Callithrix jacchus: one gene and its partner. Each later gene encodes a partner of the first gene's protein in a complex. Links are inferred from orthologs where the notes say so. Each region holds a gene or a part of one and is shown in the gene's direction. Other genes may lie near its edges.

Evidence for each region.
Region 2: the proteins of CDK6 (region 1) and CDKN2A are in contact, whole or in part, in a crystal structure (PDB 1BI7), measured with the Homo sapiens proteins. The link is inferred for Callithrix jacchus from reciprocal best matches to the Homo sapiens genes CDK6 and CDKN2A. Residues at the interface, in NP_001138778.1 of Homo sapiens: Glu14, Cys15, Val16, Ala17, Glu18, Ile19, Phe28, Lys29, Arg31, Leu33, Asn35, Gly36, Gly37, Arg38, Phe39, Arg44, His100, Asp102, Gln103, Asp104, Thr106, Thr107, Asp110, Lys111, Gln149, Thr154, Ser155, Leu166, Ala167, Arg168; in NP_000068.1 of Homo sapiens: Thr18, Ala21, Arg22, Gly23, Arg24, Glu27, Asn42, Tyr44, Arg46, Gln50, Val51, Met52, Met53, Met54, Gly55, Ser56, Arg58, Asp74, Ala76, Thr77, Thr79, Asp84, Arg87, Glu88, Gly89, Phe90, Asp92, Asp108, Trp110, His123.

The regions. Positions count from the first base shown.
Region 1 is NC_133512.1:56,782,223-56,790,704, forward strand, and holds the start of CDK6 (cyclin-dependent kinase 6), read left to right. Parts: upstream 1-4,139; 5' UTR 4,140-4,231; exon of another isoform or gene 4,232-7,021; 5' UTR 7,022-7,393; coding exon 7,394-7,626; exon of another isoform or gene 7,627-7,806; intron 7,807-8,156; exon of another isoform or gene 8,157-8,318; intron 8,319-8,482. UniProt on the Homo sapiens protein: Serine/threonine-protein kinase involved in the control of the cell cycle and differentiation; promotes G1/S transition. Phosphorylates pRB/RB1 and NPM1.
Region 2 is NC_133502.1:128,969,502-128,978,073, reverse strand, and holds the start of CDKN2A (cyclin-dependent kinase inhibitor 2A), read left to right. Parts: upstream 1-3,337; 5' UTR 3,338-3,413; coding exon 3,414-3,539; intron 3,540-6,944; coding exon 6,945-7,251; intron 7,252-8,572. UniProt on the Homo sapiens protein: Acts as a negative regulator of the proliferation of normal cells by interacting strongly with CDK4 and CDK6. This inhibits their ability to interact with cyclins D and to phosphorylate the retinoblastoma protein.

The DNA.
Region 1 (8,482 bases):
TTGATCCACAGACCTATGTCATGATATATTTTCTTCTAGGCATTCAAATAATTCTACAAAGAATTCCATTCTATGTTATTTTCAGAAAAAATCCAGAATAAGACAACATAAAATAGATTTACATGTGAATATAGATCATAACAGTATATAACTTCATTTAATAAGACAGATTGAATTGCATAATAGGATAGACACAGAAGGCCATTCATTCAGAAAGAATCGGGTTGCCTGGCTACGCAGCCATACCTCTAGCACTAAAGCTGCATCCCTCAGCTCCACAACCTCAGCATGTGCTTCCTTCACTTGTCCTTGCTGCCAGGCCATTCACAGAAGTTTCTCCCTGGGTGCCTTCTTTGTCCCTCCTTCTACCTCCAAGATCCCACTTTATCATCGTTCACTCCCACTGTATTATACCTTCGCTGCTCCAACTGAGTGATCTAGCATGTACGCACCTTTTAGCTCAACCAAAAGCAGCTATGGCAACACAATTTTTAGGCCATGTGTGCAGTTGAGATGCAAGTATTATCTCAGAAAAGAAATGTTAGAAGCCAGTGAAAATTACAGGTCACTGTCAATAGAAAGAAAATATAGGTATTTCAATGTGATTATCACATTCTTTTGTAAGTATATTTCCATATTTTTCTGATTACTCAGAATTCTAATATAGATGATGAAAGGATCTTAAGAACATGTTTCAAACATATAATGATATGCCAAGAACATACAGGTATTCACACACACACAGGAAAAAGAAGATATGGGTGTCTATCAAAAGGGAAAATTTTTGAAAGACGATGGCAATTATACAAATATGAACATAGTACTGACATGTTGCACAAGGGAAATTATAGAGTAGTAGAACCAATGGAAGCAGAATGTTCCAAAAGATAATAATGTTTTGGGTTTTTTTTCTGCTTAAATGTTATAAGCTACTAGCTTATATATATATTTTTCTCTCATGGCAGATATCAAAATCATTTCAAGTTTCACTGCCCATATGCAATCCAATAGATCACATGAAACAATAAAAAAAGAAAAATCCAGATCATTTCTAAATTGACAGAAATAATTTAAATAGAAGACTGAGCTTTAAAAATCACTTAAAGCTCAGAATTTTACAAAGCAAAAAGTTGATAATACAATTAACTTTTCCTAAGACATTTAGAAAACTTTCAATAATATAGTTTAAGGGAAAACCCAAGAAAATATCTTAGAAATGCCTGAGAAAGGGGAGAAGAATGCATTAAAATGCACTGCATTTATATTATCCTATTTCTGTTTAAATTATAGTTTTTCATAATTAATAAAGAACATTTACACAAACACACAAATCAGGTTAAAAAGTAGGGTAACTTGTTTCAAAGCTAAACTAGAAATGTGTAGTAGGTTATAGAAATATCTCATTTCTGAGTTTCTGAAAAATGTATTTTATAAACTCAAATAACCAATATAAATCAGAAGTGAATTAGACTTAGGTATACATCATGCAATTATTATTTTAAAATAAATTACTCATTTCCTTAACAAGGTTAAAAATTATAGACCAGAATTTAAAATTTTATGTTTGTTTAAGTGAAAACAAAACTTTACAGATATTTGATATACAAATGCTCACACATGAAACACATTCCTTATGTGACACTAATAAGTCTTTCAGTGTAAGTTACACCACCATATTTGGAAATAAGTCCATGAATTCTAATTTTTAAATACCTGTAAGATGATTTGCAACTTTAGAATATCTGATATGTGGTGTGAAAATACTGGTTGGAGTCATTATTCTAGAGTCCTATATATTCATTCTCATAAGACTCCTAAACAAAGAAGTTGGAATTTGGTTCACAGTTCATAAACTTTGAACAAATTTTGTTATGATAACCTGTTACCCACAACAGAAGTTATCCATAAACAAAAATAATCTGGTATTTACTAATTTTATACAATCAATTGTAAAACTTCCTTGGGTCTGAAGCTTTAACCAACTGGGATTTAATGTGAACCATAACCAGGAAGAGTGAACAATAATAAATTAACACAGAAGATAGCAATAACAGGAAAAAAGGACAGAGAGTTAACACTCAGTATTAACATATGTAATTAAAGTTTCATTGTTTTTTACATTGCCCACATCTTCTAGTAACCTAAATCATGGAATTTCTGATCTAACAATGGTTGTTGTCAAATTCAGAAATTAAAAATTCAACCCAGTGTGGAAAAGACACTTCTCTGTTAATTTCAAAGATATTTGTAGCTATTTTTTAAATAAATGATTTATTCAAATAAATTCTAGTCATGATGTGCTGGTTCCTATTTACTGGCGATTATTTCTGGATTATATAAACATGTTAATTACCAGCAAGTGAATCTTGTTTTAAAAAGTAAATAAGTGTGAACAAGTACCAAAATGGAGGATACCCATTTGTGTCTCTGGCTTAAAGTCTAATTAGTGATTTGTAGTCATCTAATATTTTATGTAAATATAAAATCTAATGATTTGCTTTCTTCAATTTATAAGGTATGTGAGATTATAAATAGCTTTACATATGCTCTTAACACAAAATGTATTTTATGAATTATCTTAAGCTTAAAGACATACAATTTTTCACCTTTATTTTTTAGAAAAAATGTATTATAATGCATTGCAAAATATGTGCTACTGGAAATGCATCAATTTTTATTTCCCTAGCCTCACCTCACATTGTAATATAGAATCAATTTTATAAAGGCAAAATTTTGATTTACTGTGAGATTAATAACATGGTTTTAAAGTCAAAAGATTTATAGAAGTAGTATTTCCAACTAAAACAGAATTTTGCAGGGTTTTAATTTTTCTACAAAGAACTGAAGTAAATAATTTTGTGAAAAGTTTTGCTTTTAGATGTTTTAAAGGGTTTCAAGTATTCTACAGATACAGATTTTGGAGAACACTAAATTCTTTCCAAAAAGACAGCTATTTCAAGTTTTCTTTTACTCCATTGTAGAAAGTTTTAAAGACTTTTTTTTTGTCCAAAATCTCATTTTCATCTAAAATAATTGTATTCAAGGGTTTCTCAGCAGGTAAAGTATACATTCTTACCAGGTTTCAAATTTCAGAATTCCAATAATGCATTTAAACTGAGCACCCCTCTTTGTGTGTATGTATCTACTATCTGCAGTTCTATTATTTGCACTACATTTTAGTCTTTTTAGCTCCTCTGAAATACGTTAGTGAACCCTCAGCAGTTACTGACCACTTAATAATTGTGAACCCGCCAGCCCCTTCAAGTAGATCGTTAACCATAAGAGTGCCTGATAATTTCCAAACCATATCCTCTAAAAGGAAAATATAGGGCTTTGTGAGGCCGAAAGGAAGCGAAGGAAAACAAAACAAATGTAGCTCATGCTGAAAGTGAAAAGTGCTTGGACAGATTAGTATTTCTTTTCTGCAAGGCATCCTGCCAAACTTTTTTTTTTTTAATAGAGAAGAGTTAATTTTTGGTCTGATTTTTCAGTTTCTTGTAAAGTATTGGTATTTTCCACCCCCATCGGCCCCTCATAATTATTGTTGGTTGTTTTCTGTTTTTCCCATCCGTCCACGTCACACAGTGAGGATAACCCCCACTTCACCCTGTCAAAACCCCAACTCTTGGAGACCCTGGGTTTGGAAACTCCGCCGACTCCCGACACGTCCCCACTCTCTCCCACTAACGCAGCTTATTTTAGTAGCGGGATCCCCCTACTCCAGTTTCAGTGAAAGCCGGAAATTTTCATTTAACTCCCCCGCCTCCGCCCCGCGCCCTTCTAGCCCCCGACGCGTAGACCGGAGCTGGGGAGCCTGGAGCTCAGAGCCCTGCCGGGGCTCGGCCGCCTCCCCTTTCTCCGGAAAGCTTTAATTTGCACACCAGCTTGCCTCTGCGCCAGGAGCCCCCAGCCCCGCCGAGGGGTGGCTCTCTGGCAGAGCTGCCTTCGTGGGTCCCCGCCTCCCCCGCGCGGTCTCCCACGCTGCCTCCCCGGCTGGGGCCCCCAGCGCCGGCCGGATCCCCGCGGCCCCGTCCGCCCCCAGCGAGTCGCGCGGGCGGCGCCCTCCGCCGTCCCTCCGCCCTCTGCCGCTGTGCCCACCCCCTCGCCGGAGAGTGCTGGTAACTCCTTCCCCAGAGTCTGATTACCTGCTCCGCCAGGCCGTGGACACGTGCGGAGAGCCGACTGACACTCGCAGCCTCCTCAGGAGGCCCGACGCGACTGGGCCCCTCAGGTGAGGAGCCGTGCGCTCGGGTGGGTGGGCTGCGGGGTGGGGGGTCCCGGGGGAGATCTGAGAGATTGGCCCGGGTCCGAGGCATAACTGTGGGTGGGGGTAAGTGGAGCGTGGCGGGGTGGGGTGGGGTGGGGGGGGACCCGTGTTTCCCTGGAATCGGCTTTGGTTAACCCCTTACAAACTGAGACGGGGTTGGTTACGGGGGCCAGTTTTGGGGAGCTAGAGGAATCTCCTGATGAGAGGGGAGATCCCATGCTAGGGACACCCACGACACCGAGATCCTGCTTCCACGTATCCATGCGCACACACACCCACGCAGAACACTCCCCATCCAGTTTCTCCAACGGAACTGGAACTCGACTCGGACACTCACATAATAATTCACATTTAGGGTTTCAAATGCACTGCCTCTGGGGACTCCATGCTGGAAAATGTGCTTCCATCCCCCTATTTCCCCCACCAAAGCTCCCCCTCCAGCTCGCTGAGGTGTGGGTGTGGGCTCCACCTTCCCCTCCACGAGATAAATGTTAACGCAGGCTTCCTGCGGGCGTGTTATGCACAGAAGAGTGCACGCAACCGGCCAGTGCCCAGGCTTGGAGACCCGCGAAGACGCACGTTTGCTTTAGTTTCCAAGTTTACTTTTATACTTTTAAATACTGGAGTTAAACACACGCCCCGCGGTGAGCAACCCTGGTACCGCAGCGCGCCCGACCGTGTGCACATGGGCGCATCTGCGTGTGCGCACACGCGGGAGTCGCGGTCCCCGGTGTGGCCTCTTGTCGCTGTGCTGGTGGCGACCCTTGCGGTGCTTGGCAGGCTTCGGGAGAGGCGCATGAAGGATTTCATTGAGTGTGAAGACAGAGAGCAGAGACAGAAAGCAGAAGGAGGCGGCTGCAGCCTTTGTAGTCGCGGAGGAATGCGGAAATGTTGAAGCACTATGTCAAACTTTTTTGAAATGGGGTCAAGTCACATTCAGCCAGCGTGGGAAAGCAACAACAACAACAAAAAAAAAGTGGAGGAGGGGGGGGGAAAGGCATTGCTGCTCCCGTTTCTATCCGCCGAGGCCGACCTTCTGGGGGGCGAGTAGGGGGAGAGCCGGGGCCGTGCGGGGCCCTGCGGGGGCAGCAGGCACAGTTCCCTGTGGGGGTGGGACGTCCTTCGACGCTTCCTTCGCTGCGGAGCCCGGGGCTAGACTCTAGCGGGAGGGGGATGGGGGAACGGAGGAGAGGCGGGTTGGGCGGCCAGTGGCGGCTCCTCGGCTACCTGTGTGGCCCTCGACCTGGCTCAGACCCCCGGCAGTCCCTGGGGGCTCTTTGCTCGGATTTTAAGTTCTGAATGGAGTGAGTGCCAGAATCTCTGCTCTCGCCGCGGTCCACTCCACCCGCCCACTGTGGGGTCGTGCCGTTTGCTTAAATCCTGGCAAAAGGCAAGCGGGCCAGCAGTTGCGGGCCAGGTAATTCCGAGGTACCCCGGGAATTCTAGACATGCGGCCGGCGTGGCGAAAGTACTGACGAGGCCACGGTGGCCGTGGGGGAGGGAGGCCCCCTGGTCCCAGATAGCTGTTGAGTGGGGAGGAAAGGTTAGGGTACCCTTCTCTGGCGCTTTGTTGTTCACAGGGCTCCGGGGGCGTCTGGCTGCAGACTGGACCTGGCCTTTAGCCGGAGGTGGAATGGGGCAGCCGCCTCCGCTACCTACAGCCGGGAGGTCCTAGGAGTGGGAAGAGGTTCGCGAGTCCGAGCCCCAAAGACACAGACCTTCTCGCTTACCTGGAGGCGCAGGATTTAACCTCCCACCCCCCACCCTTTGAAAGGGAGGTTGAGTTTTGCTCAGGTCGAAATCAGCTTAAAACTTCAGGACCGGGCGCGATTATGCTACCGTCTTCCTGAAGTTATCTTTTAAGGAGACGACAAGCGAAAGTGTGGCGATCCTGTGGGTGACGCCACCCTCGGGATCCTGTGGGTGAGGGGGTCTCCCCTCCCCCAGGGCCTCTCGCTCACCCACCACCGAGTAGCCCCAACCCTCCCAGACCAGATGGCTGGTCTTCCCAAGGTTTCCACCAGGGAGGTCCTCCTCCCAGTCGCAGAGAGAATTTCGTTTCCAACCGGGACTCCTTTACCCCAAAAAGACCATTTGTGTGTGCAAGTCGTTTTTAAATGTCTCCTCGTAGAAAAACTGAAAGTTGAAAGAAAGGAAGCAATTTCTGAGCAGATGTCTGACCACCCCTTCTCGCACACTCCCAGCATCGGGTTACAGGGTCCTGGGAACCCCCACCCGCATTCTGCGGCCCCACACGGATGGACCCACAGTCCTTCCGCTCCAGCTGCGCGCGACCCCTGAAGGTCCTCTGGCACCCCTGGACCCTCTCTCCCTGCACGTTCAGGCCTCAGGAGGTGGGGAGCGTAGCGGCGCAACACAATGATATAGGGATAAATATTAAGCCGTGACATTGACGTGCCCGGCGCCTCCCCTCCCCCGCGCTCCCGGCACACTCTGGGCTGCTCGGCACGCCCCCTCCCGTTCCACTGCGTCCCGCGCCGCGCGCTCATCCCCGAGGGGCCCCTGCAACCTCTCCGCGCGAAGACGGCTTCAGCCCTGCAGGGAAAGAAAAGTAACTTCGCTTTTCTCGGAGGAACCAGGAAGAATTAAGCGGCTTGGGAGAGGGCAGGAGCGCGCGAAGGGTAGCGATGGAGGCTTCGTGAAGGAGGAGGAGGGGAGTCTGGAGGAACCCCGAGGAAGGCTTCTGGGCTGTCTGATTGCACTTTCTTCTTATCCTCCCGTCTCCTCCTTTAGGTGCAATGATTCTGGACTGAGACACGCTCGGACAGATGCTATGTAATCGTCTCTGTCTGTGCTGAGGACTTCGCTTCGGAGAGGAAAGAGGAGGGATCGGCTCGCTTCTACGGCGGCGGCGGTGGCGGCGACTCTGCAGGCGGAGTTTCGCAGCGGCGGCACCAGGGTTGCACCAGCCCCGCGGGGAGTTCGCTCCATCCAGCCTCCGCAGCCTCGAGAGTCCCAGAGCCCAAGCTCCTGAGCCGGCAGGGGGGCAAAAAAAGCAAGACCGAGCTCCCGGGAGCCCCGGAGGAGGCAAGCAGCGGCCGCCAGCTAGTTGAGCGCACCCCCCACCGGTCCCAGCGGCGCCGCGCCAGGCGGCGTCCAGGCGGCATGGAGAAGGACGGCCTGAGCCGCGCGGACCAGCAGTACGAATGCGTAGCGGAGATCGGGGAGGGCGCCTATGGGAAGGTGTTCAAGGCCCGAGACTTGAAGAACGGAGGCCGTTTCGTGGCGTTGAAGCGCGTGCGGGTGCAGACCGGCGAGGAGGGCATGCCGCTCTCCACCATCCGCGAGGTGGCGGTGCTGAGGCACCTGGAGACCTTCGAACACCCCAACGTGGTCAGGTGAGTCCGGGAGCTGCGCCCTAGCCGTCTGGGGCCGCGCGGGCGGAGAGGGCCGAGCCGGGAATCCTCAGGCCCAGGAAGGTTTGGGGCAGAGGGCGACTGGGGAGGTCTGGCATAACCTGTTGATCTTGCAGCGTGAGTTAAGTTTTGGTGACAGAGCCGCGAGCCAGAGCCGGTGACCTTGCCAGACGGGGAGCAGAAAGACAAGTCAGAAAACGTGACGTGCACAGGCTTCCCCACAGCAGTACAACTTAGAAGTGTTTTCTCCCAGCCCGCCCTGAAGGAGGGTCTGGGGTGTGTGTGTGGGAGGGGGGGGGGTGCGTTTTAGGGACAGAATAAGCCAACCCGAGACATGCCCCGCTAGCCCCCGCATGTTTTTCCTGGCCATGCAGTTGGGGAATTTTTAAAAGAGTGAGACTGGAGAATGAGGATGCGGTGTGATAATCAGTGAGAATTTTATGGGTGGAGCCTAGTGTCAATCAGGTTAAGAAGATGCAAAAACATCAGAATATTTTGCCAATCATACTCACAGTTTCTCTTTATTAAAATTTCATAACAAGAATGACTCCTGGTGGTCTAAGGAGTTTGAATGCTGATGCCCAAATTCAAACAGCGTCGTAAAAATTTCTTCCAAAACGGTTATCCCCGTATCTCTGGGCGGACTACTCTCTAGACTAATTCTCCAAAGGGTTAAATGTGAGTCCAAGATGTGGTATGGTTAGATCATAAATGTTCTGCCCATGCTCTTCCCAGATGGGTTGTGCTAGTGGGTGGGGAAACAGTAGTTCTTAGTCTCTCCTGTGTGGTAACCAGTATTAAATGAAAATGTGTGACTTAGGATGATAACGGTGTTTTC
Region 2 (8,572 bases), on another chromosome or scaffold:
TAACCAACAAACTTTAGTAAATTCTAGTAAATATAGTAAATTTTTAAATTAAAAGCTTTTGAACATACAGTATCATGTTTTATGGTCCCATGAAATATAATCCCATTTTGCACATAGGAAATCTGAGGCTGGCATGAGCAGTGCCAGGATCCAGGACTTTATATTTTCATTCTTCTAGGGTTTTGCACCTCAGGTTGAGCTGATATGTATGAGTAAACTGGGAATGTGGTGGGTTCTTTAAAAGAAAAACTAGGAAAGTTTTCACAGTATTATTAAACTTTACATAAGATTTATAATAGATAATTGACTCAATTTCTAGAGCAAAATGACCCCACCAAAGGATGCCATAATCCTTCCAGAGCTCTTCTGCAAGATATGAGAGTGTATACATATCTAAAGCTTGTTCTTGTTATTTCCAAAGCAGTCAACTTTTACATCTGCATATAATGCATCTAAATGTTTTTGTATCACCGCATCACCCATCTTCTTCACCAATAGCTCAATAAACATACGTACATATACATATCTATGTGTGTATGTGTGTGTATATATACACACACATATATACACACACATACATATATATGTGTGTGTGTATATATATACACACATATACACACACATACATATATATGTGTGTGTGTATATATATATATGTATATATATATATTTCACAAGAGCTATAAGAGTTCTTGATGTAGGAATCCATGGTAGACTCTGAATTCCCTAAAAGTTTTATTCAGAAATACATGTGTAAGTGAACACGTCTTTTTTTAAAAAAAATCACCACCTGCTTTCTTTTTTGGGCAGGTCTTTCAACAGACTCTTGAAGGAGCCTACTTTTTCCACTCTTCCACCCCCATTAAGAATCATTATATTGATAATGGAAATGTGTTAAATGTGTTCCCTCCCTCCCATCCTTCAAACCAATCTTTCTTCCTCCTCCATCATAAAATACCTTAAGCTAAACCAAAAGAATTTTATTTATCGATAGTTTGAATTTTCCATATTATGGCTATACAGATAATTGAGAAGTACCCAAGGAAAATATAAATAGCACAGTAATGCATTGTAGATTTTAATAACATGCTTGAAATCCTACATTGTTTTCATTGGCTTCATTTTTAAAACTATCTGTTTAAAAATCAGGCAGGAACTAAAGTACAAGATATGCTGGGTCTACAAAGTTTAAGTCAACCAGGGATTGAAATATAACTTTTAAACAGAGCTGGATTATCCATAGGAAGGTTAAGCATGTCTTAAGGCATCATCAGAGTCTGAGCAATCCATTTTTTAAAAATACATGTTATTCAAACCTTAAAAAGTAATAGTCACAGTAAAAATTAGAACGTTTACCTCTTTGCACTTGTTATACTCTTTAGTGTTGCTTAACTTTTCATTATAAGTGAGGGTGGTGGAGGGTGCCCATCATCTCCATCATCTTTTCAAGGAGTAAGTTCTTGCTTTTTTTTTTTTTTTTCTGAGACGGAGTTTCACTCTTGTTGCCCAGGCTAGAGTGCAATGGCAAGATAACCACTCACTGTAACCTCTGCCTCCTGGGTTCAAGAGACTCTCCTACCTCAGCCTCCCAAGCAGCTGGGATTACAGGCCCGTGCCACCATGTATTTTTAGTAGAGAGGGGGTTTCACCATGTTGGACAGACTGATCTCCAATGCCTGATCTCAGGTGATCCACCCGCCTCGGCCCCCCAAAATACTAGGATTACAGGCGTGAGCTACCGCGCCTGGCCTTTCCTTTTATATAATAGTGATAATCCTATCCAAAGCCATTGTTTTTTTCTGAGTCGGGGTCTCATTCTGTCACCCAGGCTGGAGTGCGGTGGCTCACTGCAACCTCCGCCTCCCAGGTTCAAGAGATTCTCCTGCCTTAACCTCCTGAGTAGCTGGAATTACGTGCGCCACCATGCCTCGCTAATTTTTGTATTTTTAGTAGAGACAGGGTGTCACCATTTTGGCCAAGCTGGTCTCCAACTCCTGACCTCAGGTAATCCACCTGCCTCGGCTTCCCAAAGTGCTGGAATTACAGACGTGAGTCACCACGCCCAGCTCCAAACCATTTTCTTTTCATGCCTCAAAACAGAATTGCATATAATAAAATTTAAATTAAAAAAAAGCACAGAATTGCAAGCCAATCCTCAAAATGGACAATTCAAGAGATAACAGGTATTATTAGCTTAGGGTATGCGGCACTGTTCTTAAGGTTCATATGTATTAATACATCAATTCATTTAAATTCACAACAACTCCTGTAAAGCAGGGGGCACTCATATTCCCCTACCCCTTTATAACTAAAAAAAAGAATGCAAGGTATTTTCAGTGGGAAGGGGAAATGTGCGTGTGAAGGAGACAGAACAGTGTGTAAAGCTGATCTTTGAATCACTGTGCAACTCTGCCTCTAGAACACTGAGCACTTCTTCTGGTCTAGGAATTATGACTTACTCAGAATGGAATCCGTCCTTCCAGTACTCCCTCCCCATTGGTACAATTCTCCCCTGTCCGTGGCACAATTCTCTCCTGTCGTATTAAGCAAACCTCATTTTTTCAGAGTCTGCCCTTATACCAGGCAATGCACATGTGTGAGAAATCCACGCCCTAGACAGCCGTTTTGCACATAGGAGGGGAAGGGGCAGGGAAGGAGAGAGCAGGCCGACTCTCCAAAAGGAATCCTTTGAACTAGGATTTCTGACTTAGTGAACCCGGCGCTCTCGAAAATCAAGGGTTGAGAGGGTAGGGGGACGCTTCCCAGTCGCACAGGTGATTTTGATCCTCGCTGGGCTCTCACAAACAGAAAAGAATAGTTTTGCTTTTTCTTATGAGTAAAAGAAGAAGCCATACTTTCCCTGTGACTCCAAATACCCTGATTCAATTTGGCAGTTAGGAAGGTTGTACCGTGGAGGAAGGAAACGTGGGCAGGGGGAGGGGTGTGGGGGGTGCGAAATTTCTTTTTGCTCTGAGACGAAAACGCGCGGTTGCTGGGAAGGCGGGGTAGCAAGGCCGGGAGCAGGGCTGCCGAAGGGCGGTGTAGGAGCAGGTGGGGAGGAGTCCAGCCTTTCCTCGCCGCCTCTGGGCTCCGGCGGGCGAGGGCCGCTTCCGGCTGGTGCCCCCGGGGCAGACCCACCTTGGGGCGGCTTCAGGGGTGCCACCTTCGCAGCGAGTGAATAGCACCTCCTCGGAGGACTAGCGAACGGCGCCCCCCCGCCTGGAAAGATATAGCCGTTCCGCCGGAGGAGTCGAGGGACAGCGTCCCGGGTGTTGGGGGTGGGGGCTCTTCCGCCCGCCCTCCCGGGTGGAAGAAAGAGGAGGGGCGGGCTGGTCTCGAGACTGCAGTGCGGGCCGCGAGAGCGCTGCAGGAGCGGAGAGAGGGAGAGCGGGGAGCGAGCAGCCGGGAGCAGCATGGAACCTTCCGCGGACTGGCTGGCCACGGCCGCGGCCCGGGGTCGGGTAGAGGAGGTGCGGGCGCTGCTCGAGGCGGGGGCGCCGCCCAACGCACCGAATAGTTACGGTCGGAGGCCGATCCAGGTGGGTACAGGGCCTGTAGCGGGAGCAGGGGGTGATAGGCGACTCTGGAGGACGAGATTTGCAGGGGAATCAAGTAGCGCTTTTATTCTGGAAAAAGAGAGGCTTCCTGCGCAGTTTTCAGAAGAGGTCTGTAATCAAAGACCTGGTCTTCTGGGGGCCCTGGGAAGCCACGGAAGGATTGAGGAGGCCCGCGCGTGCAGATCTCTGGAATGCTGTAAGGATCTGAAGAGGGGGGAAATATTTGTATTAGATGGAGGTATGCTCTTTATCAGATACAAAATTTACAAACGTTTGGGATAAAACGCGAGTCTTAAAGAAATGTAGGATGTACTGGAACTATTTAGCCCTGAATTCACAGAATCCTGGATGGAGCTTATCTTTCTTGCTAGGAGGTATTATCAGTAATAATCTATCGTGTATGTTGGAATAAATATCGAATATAAATTTATGATCGAAATTATTCAGAAGCGGCCGGCTGCGGTGGCTCACGCCTGTAATCCCTGCACTTTAGGTGGCCGAGGCGGCCGGACCACAAGGTCTGGAGTTGGAGACCAGCCTGGCCAACATGGTGAAACGCCGTCTCTACTAAAAATACAAAAATCAGCCAGACATAGTCGTAAACGCCTGTAATCCCAGCTACTCGGGAGGCTGAGGCAGGAGCGGAGGTTGCAGTAAGCCGAGATCACACCACTGCACTTCAGCCTGGGTGAAAGGGTGAAAGTCCGATAAATAAAAGAAAAGAAAGAAATTATTCCGAAGCAACTACATGTTGTGTTTATTTTTAAGTGAGTAGGGCAAAAATATATGTTTGCTGTAGGAACTTAGGAAATACAGATAGATAGATGCATATAATGAATCACATTCATGTGATCACACCAGATGTAATATGTAGTTACCATTTTGGGATTATCTGCTGACATTTTTGCTGTTTTTGCTATCTTTAGCTTTCTTGATATAATTTATTTGTGATAGAGTTTTAGAGATTTTTCATTTCCTCATTTTTGAAAAGTAGTGTTTCTCCTCTCCCCACTCCAGTTTTGTGAGGGGTTAGGGGATGATTTAAAAGTAATTAATGCCTGGGTATCTTTGCATCTCTAAAATTGTAACAGCAGCTTGGACCTGGAAGTTTGGCATTGTAGCCCTAAAATATTGTAGAAGAGACCTTATTTGTTTATAAGCAAAAAGGGAAAAGAAAAGTGGATAGTTTTGACAATTTTTAATGGGGAAGGGAGAAGAACATGTAGAAAAGGGGAAATGACGTTGGCTTAGAATCCTAACTACATTGATGCTTAATATAGAAACTTATTTGTATAACATTTTTAAGTACTAAATTCATATTAATTTCTTATTAAATGTGTTTAAGCATCCTACACATTTTCATTCAATTGATTCATTTTCTTTTTGCTTTGGATTTCTATCATGATTTAAATAATTACATATGGGTTACTTTTTAGATTTTTCATACTATGAAATATAAGAAAAACCATTAAGACTAGTTTTATGACCGAAATGAAGGACTTCATTGAACACACAAAACAATAAATTTACTGCAATATTTTGTCTTTTTGTAGCTGCAATTTGGTTTCTTGTACTTTCTCTTTGTCTCCTTGAAAAATAACTCAGTTTCACTTTCTTAGGACAGGATTTAGTAACTACAGTATAATTTAGTATAATTCTTTGATTTAGGCAAATTATACAATTTGTGTTTAATACAAAATGTGCCTAAAAATAAATAATTCTTCTTTATAACACCACCATCCTCAAGCTGATATAACAAATAACAGTTATCTCAAAATAAATTATCTGCTTCTACTATCATCTACCACATAATACTCAAATTTTAAGGTTGCTATGACTGCAGACAGTGTTTTAAAATTCCTCTTTGGAAATGGCTTTGTTTTCAAGATGATTTAGGAACCAAAGAAGTGACCATCTCTTATTTAATGAACTCTCAAATTATAAACCTGGAAAGTGTTTAAGTTTCCTATTGCTACTGTTACAAATTATCACAAATGTAGTAGTAAAGCAAACACAAAATTATTATTTTATAGTTCTAGAGATCAGAGGTCAAAAATGGGTCCACAGTGCTGCATTCCTTTTGGAAACTCTAAGGCAGAATCTGTTTTCTTGTCTCTTCCAGCTTCTGGTGACCATCAAATTCCTTAGATCATGGCCCCTGTATTTTCTCTCTGGCCTCTGATTCTAATATTTTCTCTCTGACTGTGACCCTCTAATAAAAACACTTGGGGTTATGTTGGGCTTACACTGAAAATTCCAGATAATCGCCCTCATGACCATTAATTCAATCACATCTACAAAGCCTCTTTTGCCACCTAAGGTAATATATTAACAGCTGTTGAGGATTGGGGCATAGATATTTGTGGGGACAGGGCATTATTCAGCCTACGACAGAAAGGAATTTTAGGACTAATTAAGACTAGCCATCTTGTTTTATATTTGAAGGAATTGAAGTTTTGGAATTGGAGAGCATTGTGCTAAATGAAATAAGCCAAACACGGAAAGACAAATATCACATGTTCTTACTTATTCGTGAAATATAAAACAATTTAATATTTCGAAGTAGAGAGTAGAATGGTGGTTACTGGAGCTCGGGGAATGGGAGGAATAGGGAGGTGGTAATCAAAAATACAAAACCTGGGTTAAGATGGGAGGAATAAGTCTGACTCGTTTTTTTTGAGATGTGTTTCACAGCATGATGAATATGGCTAAATAGTATATCTCAAATGCTCTCATTTGACAAAAATGTCAAATGTTTGAGATGATGGATAGGTTAATTAGCTTGATTTAATAATTCCCCATTGTGTTCAAAGATTATAACATCATATTGTACCACATAAATATATACAACTATAATATGCCAATATACAATTTTAAAACTAATATAAGAAATTGAGGTTCAACATTCCCAGAAGCTAAGGTAACTTAAAAAGTTTTGTGAAAATGTATTTTTTTTTTAAAGTTTTCTCTTTTTAACAATTACCACATTCTGCGCTTGGATATACAGCAGTGAACAACAACAACAGAAAATCTCCAGGCCTAACATAATTTCAGGAAGAAATTTCAGTAGTTGTATCTCAGGGGAAATACAGGAAGTTAGGCCTGAGTAAAAGTCAGTTTGTCCCTGCCCCTTTGCTGTTGTCCTTGTCTCACAGGGCTCTCTGCCTATGGCTACAGCTCCGCACAAGTTCGCAGAATATAATGGAATTTAATGTGTACTGAAGAATGGATAGGCGAACTGTAAAAGAAAATTGGAAATTGGAAGCAAAAGTAGGGTAATTAGACACCTGTGGCTTGTCTGGGTGTCTGCTTGGCGGTGAGGGGGCTTCACATTGGCGTCCTTTCTGTCCCCTACCCCGGCTCTGACCACTGTGCTCTCTCTGACAGGTCATGATGATGGGCAGTGCCCGCGTGGCAGAGCTGCTGCTGCTTCACGGCGCGGAGCCCAACTGCGCGGACCCCGCCACTCTCACCCGACCGGTTCACGACGCTGCCCGGGAGGGCTTCCTGGACACGCTGGTGGCGCTGCACCGGGCCGGGGCGCGGCTGGACGTGCGCGATGCCTGGGGCCGTCTGCCCGTGGACCTGGCTGAGGAGCGGGGCCACTGCCACGTTGCAGGGTACCTGCGCGCGGCTGCGGGGGGCACCACAGGCAGTAGCCCTACCCGCACAGATGCCGCGGGAGGTCCCTCAGGTGAGGACTGGTGATACAAGAATTTGTACCCGGAGAGCTTCCAAAGCTCGGAGCATTCCTTTTCCAGAAGAGAAAGTTCAGCAGGGGAGACCAGTCTCAGGTCTCGCCTCAGCTCACGTGCCAATCGCGCCAATCATCAGACAACCTGAGTCTCCTGATCGCGCTGCCGGGCCAGGGTAGCAAATGGGAAATAATCACAACAGGGACTTTCGCATGTGAAAGCCCATTCTGTAAATTATACCTCCCAAAGTATACCACCACCCAAACACCTACCCTCTCATGGTTTAAGGCCTAGATTGTGGAGCATTGAAGACTCAAGAGGCTAGAGAAAGAGTCTCCCTCTTCCTCCAAACTAGGGCCAGTTGCGTCCACTTACTGGGTCTGGTTCCTCATTTGCATACCAAGGTAACTGGACCAACTCTAGGATTTCCAAACCCAGTTGTGTGTGGCACCATCTGGAGATCGCTGAATCTCAGCTCTACGACACAACTCAACTAATCCGACCCTCCGCTTTACGCGGTAGAGTTTTCCAGAGCTGCCCCGGGGGGGTGGGGGTGGGGTTCTGTGGGTATCAGGACCAAAACTTCGCTGACCATGGCTGACTGTGCAGCACTCTGGCAGACAGAGACCCTCTCCTTTTCCTCTTAAACTTGTGTAAGAAGATCGCTGAGCGATGAAGATAGAATTGTGGTTCTCCTTGCCTTTGCTTTTTGCGATCTCAAAGCATCCTCCCTCTGCCCCCATTCCATGGCCTCAGTTTTCTAACCCTCACAGCTGTCTGCTGGAAGTGCCAACATTACTCAGTTGTTTCTGGAGGGGGAGCAGTTTTTTAAAAAACCAAATAGATATATGAAGCAATACACGGGAATTAATACGGATATTTAAGGTAAAACATGACCTTGAAGATTTTGAAATCCATCTTTTTGGCCCAGAATGGGGAACTGGGCTCCCTGGGCCATAGGGGAGCCTGGGTGGAAGAGTTGGAGAGTTACCTCTAAGCCCTCTGCTGGGGGATGCTGTAAATACTGAATGCAAAATCACCTTCCAAGTTGAAGATGCAAAGTTCTCCTTTACTCAGCCCCTCTTCCCCACCATTCCCGGGCTTTGCCTCCGGTTACAGCTTGCAGCCTGGTCCGCGTAGAAAGAGCGCGCTTCCAGGGCTGAGCATAAAGCTGGAGGAGCCCAGTGGGAGAAGGAGTAAAACTATTGAATTAAGCCACAAGCTAATAAATAAATTGAGACTCTTAATAACCAAACCGAAGATATTTAATCCAAGCACACAAGTCTTTCATACCTTCCTTCCTCCCTTCCTTCTCTTTCT